Zea mays: one gene and its partners. The protein of the gene in region 1 interacts with the protein of each later gene in a pairwise test. Links are inferred from orthologs where the notes say so. Each region holds a gene or a part of one and is shown in the gene's direction. Other genes may lie near its edges. The genes, in order: protein ACCUMULATION AND REPLICATION OF CHLOROPLASTS 3; chitin synthase homolog 1; Plastid division protein CDP1, chloroplastic.

Region 1 (3,630 bases):
GTAAAAAGATTAATAGAAGCTTTTCTCACTGTTTCCTATCTGGGATTTACACCGCTTCCTTCATAATTGACCTATAATAGGACTGATATTTCACTAGTTGTGCATTATGCTCCCGAGTCCCGGTTCCTAGATCATAAGTTTGTATAGGCCCTGGTGTGCACACACATGTCCCACCAAAGGTTGAGATGGTGATAAGAAGAAAATGGATGCTGCTTAACATGCTAAACTTAAGTTTTACAATGAGATGGTGAACGTGAAACTATTCGTTATGACAAGCTAAGTGGGTTTTGTCCTTTGAGTAATATTAAACTCTTTGGTGGTGTGGATATTGATGAATGATGATTGGCATATAGTCATTGTATTGATTTATTGTGAAATCTTGTCGTGTAGTTCTGTTTTTTCTCCATGCAATACTAGCATCACAATATTATTGTAATTAGCCATATTCAAGAACAGTGGCTTGTAGTCTAAATAATTACGGTTTCATCTATACTGTCACAGTTATTGAAGCTGATTCATTGCTTGAGACGGAAGTGGAAACTCTTGCCGAAGCTTTGGAAAGTGCCAATAATGCTGTCCTGTCAACTATTAGCATGATATCTATCATGATGTCTGTGAGTTTTAAATCCTTCTACGCTGTGCTATGATATGAAATAATGCACTCTACTTTTTAATTCCATTTTTTCTCTAAATATCAGGGTTATAATAAGATGTTCTGGAGTTCCCTTAATGCACAAATTAAGGAAGTTGGTCCTGAGGAAGTAGCCAAGGTTATAAAGATATTTCCTTACTACTAAGTTCCATCATCTTGACATTAGCTTTTATTAAATGATTCTTACAGTCTACAACTTAACAGCTACTCAGAAGCTATGGGGAAGCTAGAGTTGGCTTTGGTGCTGGTTATAACATCCAGTCAGCAATTAAGCAGGCTGTCTTTCACTGTCCATTTCTTCGTGGTGGCATAAAGGTGGAATTGATTGTCTTCTTTTTTTGTAACTTTTGATGTGTTTATTACTTTATTCTATATTCTATACGAAATGTTAAAAAGGAAAGGGAATTTTGTTTATGTTTTGGCATCTTGACTTAAACGGTGCCTGTGCAAAAAGGCCAAAATCTGCTATACATATGCATCAATGCAACTTGTATATCTGCGGAAATTTGTAGCCATGAAATATTTGTGCTGCTCGCTTATATTTTGACTGCACTGATTTGTTTACATATTATTTTTGTGTAGGACTTGAACAATGTGGTTTTCCTCTCCCTTACAACTGCTCGGGTGTTGTCTGAAAGTGACTTGATCTCTATTCTGCACATCTTCCGTCGAGTTACTGGGTTCACCAAAGATATTATATTTTCTAGAAATTCTGAATCTGATTTAGAGCCAAAACTGATAGTAGTTTCTCTTCTAACTATCCGGTAAGTTATCGCATAGCAGCTGATACAGAAAACTCAAATGATCAGCCTGGTTTTTAATGAACCTTTTCATTTATCATTCCTTAATCATACTCCACGACTTTTTTCTCGAACAGGTAGGAGAGCCCGATTTTTTTTTTCAATTTAGCCATTTTTTCTATAAAAAAATCATGTTTCGGGCCCTGGACGAAGTATTCCCGTTTTTGGACCCTCTTGCTCAGCGCCATAGCATATGGCGCCGAGTTAACACTGCTCGGCGCCACAGGCCATGGCGCCAAGATCTCGGCCGCGCCAGCGAAGTCCTCAGATGCCAGGGAGGATGAGACCTTGGCGCCATGGCCTGTGGCGCCAAGCAGTGTTACCTCGGCACTATGTGCTATGGCGCTGAGCAAGAGGGTTCAAAAACGCTATTAAATCATCCAGGGATTAAATGTGATTTTTTTTTGAAAAAAGGCTAAAATGCAAAAAAAAAAACGACTGCGTGTCATTTCGCTAATAGATAGAAAACGGTCCAATTACATGTCGAATCCGTGGCTTGGTTAGTGAATTTAGTCCACGACTTTAATGTATGTTTTATATCATCTCGCATTTTGTTAAGTAAATCATCTAAGATAAGGATAATTAAAAAGGGCTAAATCTTTGAGTTGTATTGCATGTGTTGATTATCTTATTGATATATGAATAACAAACTGATCATGTGATCTTGAGATAAATGTACATCAGCATGTTTTTTAGTAAAACACTTTGAGCAGACATGAGGATGAGTTTCTTACCCCTTGTATGACATGGTAGTATATTCAGCTATTCCCTTCCCATTTCTTTCACATTCTTGCTTTGAGACTCATCTATTTTGCTGGGTAGTGTTATATACTTTCTCACAGTTCACATAACTACTATGGTGTATGGTGCAATCTTTATCACCGTTAGTGAAGTCTTTATAGTTGTGGTATCTGATGCTTTTTCCACTTTTCATGGTTAAAAGATTGTCCTGCCATTTTATTGGAGAAAGACCTTCAATTTCTCATTCTTTTCTTGATAAGGGTATATTTGAAAGAAACATTAATTGATTACTTTTTTCATAAGTTGTTACTTTCTATATTTAAACAGATATGTGCAAAAATAGTGTTACTCTCATTCTTCCTGATGTTGTCTCATGTTGTTACGGATTTTCAGCTTTTCTATGTGATTATGGTGTTAATAAATATCACTATAGACCATGGGTTTTAAAGCGGTATGGCGAGACAAGACGTTGGACTGCCGCCTGGACGCCTAGGCGAGGTAGACGAGCAAGGCGCCTAGGCGTTGGACCACCGCCTGGACGCCTAGGCGACGCCTTTAGAACAGTGCTAATGTGCTATAGACTGTAGTCTAGCAGTATGTAGTCTAAAAAAATAGTTGTGCAAAAGATACTACATTTTACTCAACTTGAATTTGTGCTAGGTCAGATATACTGTTTTGTTTTAAAATTAACTTATGTAGTTTTTCTCTACTCACCCATCGGTGACAATTGCTGATATTAGTGGTTGATTTTGTGCTGCAATTTTTTTTTACAGAAACCACTATGACGGAAGTGTTTCCACAGTACAAGAGGGATTCCTTTCAAGTTTGGCCTTGCATTTTCCTTTTATATCTTCTCTTATGGGAGGAGATACCCCTGAGCAGAAACAAATTAGGTCGAAGCATTCCTTTAATCGACTGCCTGACAACAGATTTAATTCTGTAGAACAAGACGAATTCTCGCGAGTTTCTAATCGGTCATCTGATGCTACTGTTTCCAAATCATTTCCTGAAGAATTTGAGGATTTGGAATCTGTGAGGTAACTTACAGACTTGGCTTCTTTCCTTTTGTCCCAGGAAAGCTAGTTCCTTTTTTTTAAAAAAAAATAACTATTGTTATGACCAAGCATGTGCACTGCAATTCTGTCTTAGGAATCAGAGAATAAAGCCAGAATCTCTGGAAGGTGATCTGGCAGTTACTGGAGAAATGAACAAAGATGATGACAACGGTAAAATTGTTTGTGTGCACCACGTCCTTTATTTTGTTTGCTTGTGCTTTTCTAACTTAAGTTTCATTGACAGGGCATTTAGTTTCACAGCAGGAACATCGCTTCTTGAGCAACTCCCCTGGTTTTGATATTGCACAATCGTGGGCTAAGCAGCGTGTGATGGCAAGTGGAAGCAGTAAAAATGATGAGCTTGATGCTGTCGCTCTTCCTG
Region 2 (4,181 bases), on another chromosome or scaffold:
GACACAACACAACACAACACAACGTTGTCACTACAGGACAAATCCAGCACTCCCCGAAGCAGAAAGACCGCGACCCAAAGCAAGCTCAAGCTCCCCTCTTCGGTCTCCACCGCTCGCCAACCTAGAGATATACCTCCCTTCCTACCAAAGCTTTGTCTCTAGAAGACTTCGTTGGCTCTTCCCTCGACGCTAGTGGTTGTCAGTGGTGATGGCTGGCTAGCGGGGGTGGTGGTGTTGCTGGAATGTCCACCGCGATGGTGACTGCCGCCCGCCTTCGCATGCCACTGCCAAACGGAGCCCACTACTCGGCCTTCTCGAGCCGACACCTCTTTGATTGCCACCGCCACTAACAAGCGACCACACGTTTGGTGCCCCATGGATGCCTTGTCCCACCCTGTTGTCGTCATCGACAACGACACCACGGTTGCTCATGAGTTGGAAGTGAAAAGGATTCTACAACTTTTTTGGTGTTAGGGTAAGAATTAGTGGCATGCTAAAATAATGGAGAGTGAAAATAAGATCGAATCAAAGTTATTGATAAGTGTTTCGGTCCAAAAAAACAAATGGGCTGTAAATAGATTTGATTTTTTTTTGAAAAACATTGAAATTTTTAAATCCTTAAACCAAACACGCAAGTAGTTGGCCTGACCAATCTAACTGTGGAGAGATTCTGAATATCGTGAAAATTACGTTTGGAGGAAGATAAAAAAGTCTATAGAGTTTATGATTTTGAAAGTGACAGTTTACTACTATCGCAACAAGTCGGTCGATTATATATTCACATTGATTTTAGACAGTTTTGGCTAAAGTGATTCTTATAGAAGTTAGACTCTCTTTAGTTTGAGGTGATTAAAATTTAATGACTAGACTTTAGTCACTTTTAGTCTTAAAAAAATAAATAGTGACTAAAGTAAGGTGACTAAACTTGGGTTAGAGCATGTACAACCTAGACACTGCTGCACGGTACTCCAAGTATAAGGCACAAATAAAACACAACATAATACAGTGGTCATGTCTAAAACATGTGTCTTACCATATTCATTGTAACAATCAGAACATTCAATAAATTAAAGTGATCAATCAGCTAGTCTCCTGTCTCAAACATAGAGCTAAAACACTGTGTCTTCGTCAAGATACATGTCTTGAGTTTTTTACATTCATCCACTAGACACACTCTGAGACACAATTTAAGACACCCAACCTTACACAGCCAAATCGCACAAGCGAGCTGGTGGCACCAATGCAGCCGTTCCAACTTCCTTCCAAATTCCAACGAGAGTCCAGTCTACCAGCCTCCAACACTGAGGACAAAGCGAAAAGAAAAAGGGGAAAAGGGGCTGGTGCGCAAAACCCTAGCACAGTCGCATCCATCATGGCGATGTCCATCTTCGGCGGCTGCGTCGGCGGCGACTCCGGTGCGCTCATCGCGCCGTCCGCGTCCTCGCTCCGCCCGCCGTTCCGTCTTGTCGCTGGTCCCAAGGTTCGGACTCCTGCTCGGCTGCTCCCCGTCCCATAAACCCTAGCATTTATTTAGTTTATCCTGCGTGTTTGAGGTGGAATTAGTACGAGTATGCGGCTTTCGATTGGCTCGGGAGGCCCAGTTTTCTGCGGGGAGATGCTCCGGTAGGCTGCTGGAAGTCCGCCGTGCGGTTGTTACTCTTCGGCGTTTGTGCATGCCTCTGAAGGTCCGATGGGTGGGTGAGGCTGCCTCGTGTCAGTCTGACGAATGTGCGAAGTGCATTTTTATGTTGATTGGTAGGCTAAATGTTCAAGTGCATCTTAGGAACTGGGAATGGAGGAATTAATTTGACAAGACAAAATAGAGATTTAGTGCCCACATTGGTGTGAGGTAGGCCCATGGAACACTTGCATTTCTGGAAAACGTTAAGGCCCTCTTTGAGTTTGCTTGCCCCAAACGTTTATTAGCCCCAAATGTTGAAGCCCCAAGCAAAATAATAAATGTTTAAGGCAAGCAAAATAATGACCTGTTGCGACCTTTCACTTCAAGCCGTCTGTCTGTTTTCGTTTGGTTCGTCCGGGGTTTGCCATGGGAAGTCGGAGCCACCGGCTGCTTTTCAATCTAGCTTGGAAGCGATGACTCATGGCAGTTATGTGTGCTCTTACGCGTCGTGTTGGTGGGTTAGCCCTTCGTGTGTTCAGTGTTTGCTCCACGTTGGGCTACCTTCTTGTATTTGTTAGATTTTGGGCCCGGTTTTTCCTTAAAACAGGGTTAATTCCATTCTTAATTGAGAGGCGGACCATTACGTTCAAAAAAAGGTTTGCCAAACCCTACCGGAGGGGAGAAGCTCTTTTTTTTTGTACTAGGTTGGTGAAGCCACCTAAATGTGGCTGCTCCAGATTCTGTCTTCTTAGATTAGTTGTTTGCAAAGAAGCCCGACCAAACATGGCCTAAGGATTACCTGTACTTTTAGATCTGCATTTTTCCTAGATTTGACATTTTATTATTTTGCTTGCCCCAACATTCTTGGGATGTACGTTTTTTGGATTCTAAATATCTGGGTTGATATGTAAGCATCATGTCATAGAAAAGAGGTGTCGTGTACTGATTGTCCTACCATGAATAAGTGCCCTGTATTTGATTTTTAGGTGAAAGGATCTTCTCGTCATGTTTTTATGTGTTGGCTTATATGTGCAGCTTTTGTATCCCATTTGATGGTTCTGCCCAAACTCAAAGTCAACCACTTTGTCTCCTTTCGTATTGGTCTTCTCCATAGCAATCAGTTATCAGTATATGTGATGTGTAGGCTAATTGCTAATGTATTGTAAAAAAATATAGAGTTTAGTCTGACAAAGTACCTGTAATTTTAAATTGGCAGTGGTTTGATTCCTATATTTCACATGGGTTCCCTAAGCTTGTGAGGTCGGTGTGTTTGTTATAGTGCTAGCAATATTAGCCTTGCTTAATAATACCAGACTGTCTGATTTCCATGTCTAGGTTTGCTTGGTACTGGCCGATTTTTGGGCTGTTCTTTATTTTCCTTCCCTTTGTTCTGCCTCCATCTCCTATAGTATGGTTATCTCGTTTCATACTTTGCAAATATCAGTATTACTGACACTATCCAAACCGGATGATTCCTTCTTTTCTTTCATTGACATGTTTTTCATAGTACAGTACTACATGGTAGATCTAGAGGGTATGTTGTTGGATAGGTAGTTAGAAAAGAGGAAAATCTGTATGTATAATATTGTGTATCATGTTCCTTTCAATTTCTTTGATATAAACCTCAAGTTAAGCATCGTTTGTTTTCAGTGCTGAAATGAGAAATTGCAACATGAGAGTAGACTGGCTTTGTCATTAAGATTTATAAGAGAACTGAGGCTAACTTTGTGCATATATGATGCATTCACTCGATCAAATGTGGTTTGTTTCCGCCCTGTAGTTATGTTATCATTGCTCTATTAGGTGTCTTTCTGTTCATTCATTCGATCAAATGTGGTTTGTTTCATGTGCATATTTCTTCAGTTTACAGAAGGCCTGAATGTATGCTTACTCATGCAATAACTCAACATACATGTGTGTGTATTTAAACAACTAAGCTAGTGTGGTTGTGCCACTCGCTGAACTGTTACAGTATACGGATCTGACGTTATTCAAATTACTGCAAGTCTCAGTATGGTGAGTTTAGGATTGGCAGTTGGATCTTACTGGGATTGCACTAGCTTTTGTACCATGATGTGCTCTTAGCATGTTTGCAATGAATATACTGGAATTCATACCATTTTAGTTGTGTCATGCTACAGGGCCATTTTTGTACTTTTCCTCATGGAGCATCTAGCAATCACAGCCGGCTATGTGTTCAACATCAAAGGTGTTCTCGCAGCTCCACCCAGAACTATGCTCTTTCTAGGAAGGATTTTTCTCCTATAACTCAAGATGTGGAAGGCTTCCTTCACAATGTTGTTAACATGGGTTTTCTTGACCGTCTGAAATTAGCGTGGAAGATAATGTTTTCTGCACCAACCACAAAGGATACCTCCAATGCAAACATCGCAAAACAGAGGCTTAAGATGATCCTGTTCTCCGACAGGTGTGAAGTCAGTGATGAGGCAAAGAAAAAGATCGTGGAGAACATCATTGAGGCACTGTCTGAGTTTGTTGAGATAGAATCAAGGGATAACGTCCAAGTGGATATCTCAACTGATGCTGGCCTTGGCACCGT
Region 3 (4,145 bases), on another chromosome or scaffold:
CGCGGCATCCGGCCGACCGGAGCTGAGCGAGCGAGAGGCGGAGCGCGGCCGGAAGGCGGGCCCCGCGGGGACCCGAGGAGAACGGCGTGTGGATAGAGGCTGCGATGGTGGACGCCGTGGTGCTCGGCGCGGACGACATGAGCGGAGCGGAGGCAGCGCGCGGGGAGGAGAGGAGAGGAATCTTCTCGAAGGTGTTGCCAGTGGACAGTACGCCACCAGTTCTGTTCCGCGGCCGAGATTTGTGGGCGAGGGGCTGATTTTTGTTTTGTTTTTCTCCCGTAACATAACTCGTCTGAGGCGCGGAATTCGGCCCGGCCCAGAAAAATGAAATTGCCAAGGAAACGGGACGCGAGCAGCCCATTCGACCTATTCGTTTGGAAGCAACGGTCTTTCCGGAATTCAGGCTTTGGAATGAGCCGGCGGTGGACTTTTCGTCCAACGAAATCTTCTCGATATGAGATTTTTCTCTGAGAAACAATCACAAATGATTCTCGACAGAGAAAATGACATCTTTGGTGTGCATCTTGTTAACTTGTTTCTTTCTGCGGATGAAAGGGCAGCTCAGTGCTTGCTAATTGCTGTGTTTGAGCTGTTCTAAATTTTCTGAACCATGATGTATGAACTTCCAAAATGACCATACTACATTATATCATATCATATATTATTTTAAAAATGAAATCACTGGGATAAAAAAATAGAGAAAAAAAAGAAAGGTTAGTTTGAAATATGCCACTCTAATTTTAAAAAGTTGAAAACTAATTTATTTTCATATCCTGCTTTGTCATAGAGTAAAACCTCAAATAGCAGTCAAAATTAAATCATGGTTACAGTTGATTTCCCTGTAATTTGAATATTTACACTTGTACATATCCACACTAAAAAAACTATAGGAACTCCCTACAGTAACTGCTTCAAAAAAATAAATTTTATATCACTCAATTGCATCAAAATAAACTAACCATCTATTTTTTTTTAAAAAAAATTGCAATTAATCCAAAAGAAGAGATGCTGGCTGCATGTCACAGTCAACACCTGAACTGTCTCGTCCAGCATAAACTACCATGCCACGTGTACAAAGCGCGCATGGACCAAGTCCACGGAGAGAGCAAGATCCATCGGTCCGCAACCCCTCCCTCCGGCGTCCGGCTTCGCCATCACGACGCCTCCTCCCTCCCTCCTCTCCTCTTCACTGACGCTTTCTCCCTCCCGTCCTTGCTTTATTCCACCCCCGCAAAAACCCCCGACACCCCGAAAAGCTCACCCCGCACATGGAGAGCTCCGTCTAGGGTTGGTTCCCGGGAGCGCGTCCATGGTGATGCCGACTGTGGCCTCCGCGGCCGCAGCGGCGCTTCACCCGGCGATCTCGACGCGGCGCGCGGGGGTCGTCGGGAACGGCATTGCGTCCGCCGCGGCGGCGGGTGGACGCCTGGCCGGCGGCGGGCGAGGGGCGGTCGTGCGTGCCAGGGTGGCGGAGGCCGCGCCGGTGGCGGCCGAGGGCGGCAGGTTGGAGGCGCCTCCCGCTGCACCCATGGTGGAGATCCCCGTCACCTGCTATCAGGTGAATGGTTGGAGTCGCCTGGTCTGTTTTATCGACTGCAATTTCGAAAACGGCGCTCACCTTCTGTTGTCTGATCGCCGCCGCTTGATCTCGGCGGCGCCATGTCAATTAATTACCTGGGTTGCAGATTGAATCGGCGTTTTCATATAACGAATCGAATTCAATGTGCGCATCCGTAATTGTATGCGCTTCCCTCCCATTTTGAGTAAAAAATATGTGTGACCGCGTTCTGATTTTTCGTCTGATCAGTTCACAATCGATTGGACCATTTGTCCTTTTTAAAAACTTGTTGGTTGACATGTTTAAGCTTAACAATGACCGTGTAGATGCTAGGCGTTACCGAGAAGGCTGAGAAAGATGAAATCGTGAAGGCCGCGATGGAGTTGAAAAATGCTGGGATAGAAGATGGATACACAGCTGAGGTCTCCACTTTCAGACAGGTTCCTGATTAGTTTCTGCAACTATATCTATTTATGTACCCCATGTTTTGTTTTGTGAGGGAATGCAATAATCCTGATGTTAATCATTTGCGTGTTGCCTTTTGTCAGGCTCTCCTAGTAGATGTCAGAGATAAACTTCTGTTCGAACAAGATTATGCAGGAAACATAAAAGAGAAGGTTCCACCTAGGTCCTCTCTTCATATACCTTGGAGCTGGTTGCCTGCTGCTCTGTGTATTTTGCAGGAGGTAATGCATCACACAGACATTTCTCATCAAAATGTCTGTTGGAACCAGTAACACGCTGCTATGAAGTTAATGCTGGTTTTGTTTGGTTGAGACTTTTCACTTTATTTGGCTATGATCAGTGAGTTAGTTGTTATTACAGCGACTATCTTTAATTTTCTCATTGCACCAAATTAAGATATATTTTGTGGAGTACTATCTGTATGTGGTTTAAATCGTACATGTGTCATGTTCTTCTTGGTAATATACAATTCACGTGTCAGGTATTATATTTAATACGCCAAATTATTTAATATAACTTAACAGGAATAAGAGCAGAACTCTGTTAACTTAAATGTCCCTAAGCTTTGAAATATTTATGAAAGGGCGTAGCCAGGTACCTTTAGGATCATGTTTTTCAGTGTGTAAATAATAACTACTGTTCTTTCTTCAGATCAGGACATCAGGCAAGACAGTGTAAAGTGCCAAAATTGTCACTATTGAAAATTTTCCATGCTGAAATGCACTGTTAGCTTTGAAAATCCCAGCACGAAGGATGTCTTAGCATCCTAATTTTCGAAGTTAAACATGCATTTTTTGCTTGCCATTATGTATTGCAATACTGGTTTATTCGCTCTTCATCCATGTATGATGTTTCAGTCTTGTTTCAGGTTGGAGAAGAGAAGCTAGTTTTGGAAATTGGTCAGGCGGCTCTACGACGCCCTGATTCTAAACCTTATGTTCACGATGTGCTTCTTGCAATGGCATTAGCAGAAGTAAGAATAACATAAGGATCTTTTCCATATTTTCTTTAACAGCTGTTTGATGAATTGTTAGGAACTTCTCTCACATTTAGATGGTTCCATGCATTTCGTTGTAGTGCTCTATAGCAAAAGCCAGCTTTGAGAAGAGTAAAGTGTCCCTTGGCTTTGAGGCTCTGGCACGCGCTCAATATCTTTTGAGGAGAAAACCATCTTTGGAGAAGATGCCCATTCTTGAACAGGTGTGATGTTATTACTTCTACATGAACAAGTTCTTCTGAATAGTAAATACAAAATCATGCCATAACTTATTCATTGGTGGTCCAGATTGAAGAATCACTTGAAGAGCTTGCGCCTGCTTGCACATTGGAGCTTCTAAGCTTGCCTCAGACACTTGAAAATTCTGAACGCAGGCGAGGTGCTATTGCAGCTCTCTGTGAACTGCTTAGACAGGGCCTTGATGTTGAATCATCTTGTAGAGTCCATGACTGGCCTTGTTTCTTGGGTCAAGCAATGGACAAACTATTAGCCAATGAAATTGTGGATCTTCTTACTTGGGATACTTTGGCTACAACTCGTAAAAATAAAAGATCGTTGGAGTCCCAGAGCCAGCGGGTTGTAGTTGACTTCAATTGCTTTTACATGGCGATGCTTGCTCACCTTGCATTTGGATTTACAACCCGCCAGACTGAGTTGGTACCCTCTTTTTCTCACTCGCTTGGCAACCTGTAGAAGTTGCTATCTCTTTGCATTATTTTTAATTTGTTTTACATCTGTGCAGATCAAGAAAGCTAAAACCATCTGTGAATGTTTAGTTGCATCTGAGAGCACAGACCTAAAATTTGAGGAATCTTTCTGCTCATATCTTCTTGGAGAGGTTATAAACTTATCTCAATCTGACTAAATTAGCTTTAGTTCCTTGCATTACTAGAACTAATGATTAGCTCTCAGGAAACTGGAACCACAGTATTTGAAAAGCTTCAGCAGCTTCAAAGTACTGGAAGTTCAAATTCAAAGAACTATGGATTGGATAAAAAGAAAGACAGCAGTGGCAAGGTTACTGTCAACCAATCACTGGTATGTTGCATCTGTTCAATTGGAGCAAATAAGCTTTACTATTCTACATTACTTGCTCAGAAGTCTCATGCAGACAGTTTTTAACCA

The links.
Region 2: the proteins of protein ACCUMULATION AND REPLICATION OF CHLOROPLASTS 3 (region 1) and chitin synthase homolog 1 interact in binary tests that used the Arabidopsis thaliana proteins (3 or more experiments, as listed by UniProt). The link is inferred for Zea mays from reciprocal best matches to the Arabidopsis thaliana genes ARC3 and MINE1.
Region 3: the proteins of protein ACCUMULATION AND REPLICATION OF CHLOROPLASTS 3 (region 1) and Plastid division protein CDP1, chloroplastic interact in binary tests that used the Arabidopsis thaliana proteins (3 or more experiments, as listed by UniProt). The link is inferred for Zea mays from reciprocal best matches to the Arabidopsis thaliana genes ARC3 and PARC6.

What each region holds. Positions count from the first base shown.
Region 1 is NC_050102.1:152,658,788-152,662,417, forward strand, and holds part of protein ACCUMULATION AND REPLICATION OF CHLOROPLASTS 3, read left to right. Parts: intron 1-501; coding exon 502-614; intron 615-698; coding exon 699-770; intron 771-856; coding exon 857-967; intron 968-1,234; coding exon 1,235-1,416; intron 1,417-2,966; coding exon 2,967-3,230; intron 3,231-3,342; coding exon 3,343-3,419; intron 3,420-3,492; coding exon 3,493-3,630. UniProt on the Arabidopsis thaliana protein: Together with MIND1 and MCD1, regulates FtsZ ring positioning in chloroplasts in an ARC6-dependent manner. Z-ring accessory protein involved in the initiation of plastid division and division site placement (might functionally replace bacterial MinC).
Region 2 is NC_050105.1:18,841,243-18,845,423, forward strand, and holds the start of chitin synthase homolog 1, read left to right. Parts: upstream 1-1,319; 5' UTR 1,320-1,372; coding exon 1,373-1,480; intron 1,481-3,762; coding exon 3,763-4,181. UniProt on the Arabidopsis thaliana protein: Acts as a topological specificity factor during plastid division and specify plastid constriction sites (such as the Z-ring) in a MCD1-dependent manner. Especially involved in epidermal plastids division in a FTSZ1-dependent manner.
Region 3 is NC_050097.1:1,989,063-1,993,207, forward strand, and holds the start of Plastid division protein CDP1, chloroplastic, read left to right. Parts: upstream 1-1,238; 5' UTR 1,239-1,309; coding exon 1,310-1,558; intron 1,559-1,884; coding exon 1,885-1,998; intron 1,999-2,106; coding exon 2,107-2,244; intron 2,245-2,891; coding exon 2,892-2,996; intron 2,997-3,100; coding exon 3,101-3,223; intron 3,224-3,308; coding exon 3,309-3,677; intron 3,678-3,762; coding exon 3,763-3,858; intron 3,859-3,932; coding exon 3,933-4,058; intron 4,059-4,145. Other genes in the region: Thioredoxin X, chloroplastic, read right to left, coding at 1-139. UniProt on the Arabidopsis thaliana protein: Component of the plastid division machinery required for PDV1 localization to constriction sites. Involved in chloroplast division site placement. Required for the proper formation of FtsZ rings at the division site in nongreen plastids (e.g. etioplasts).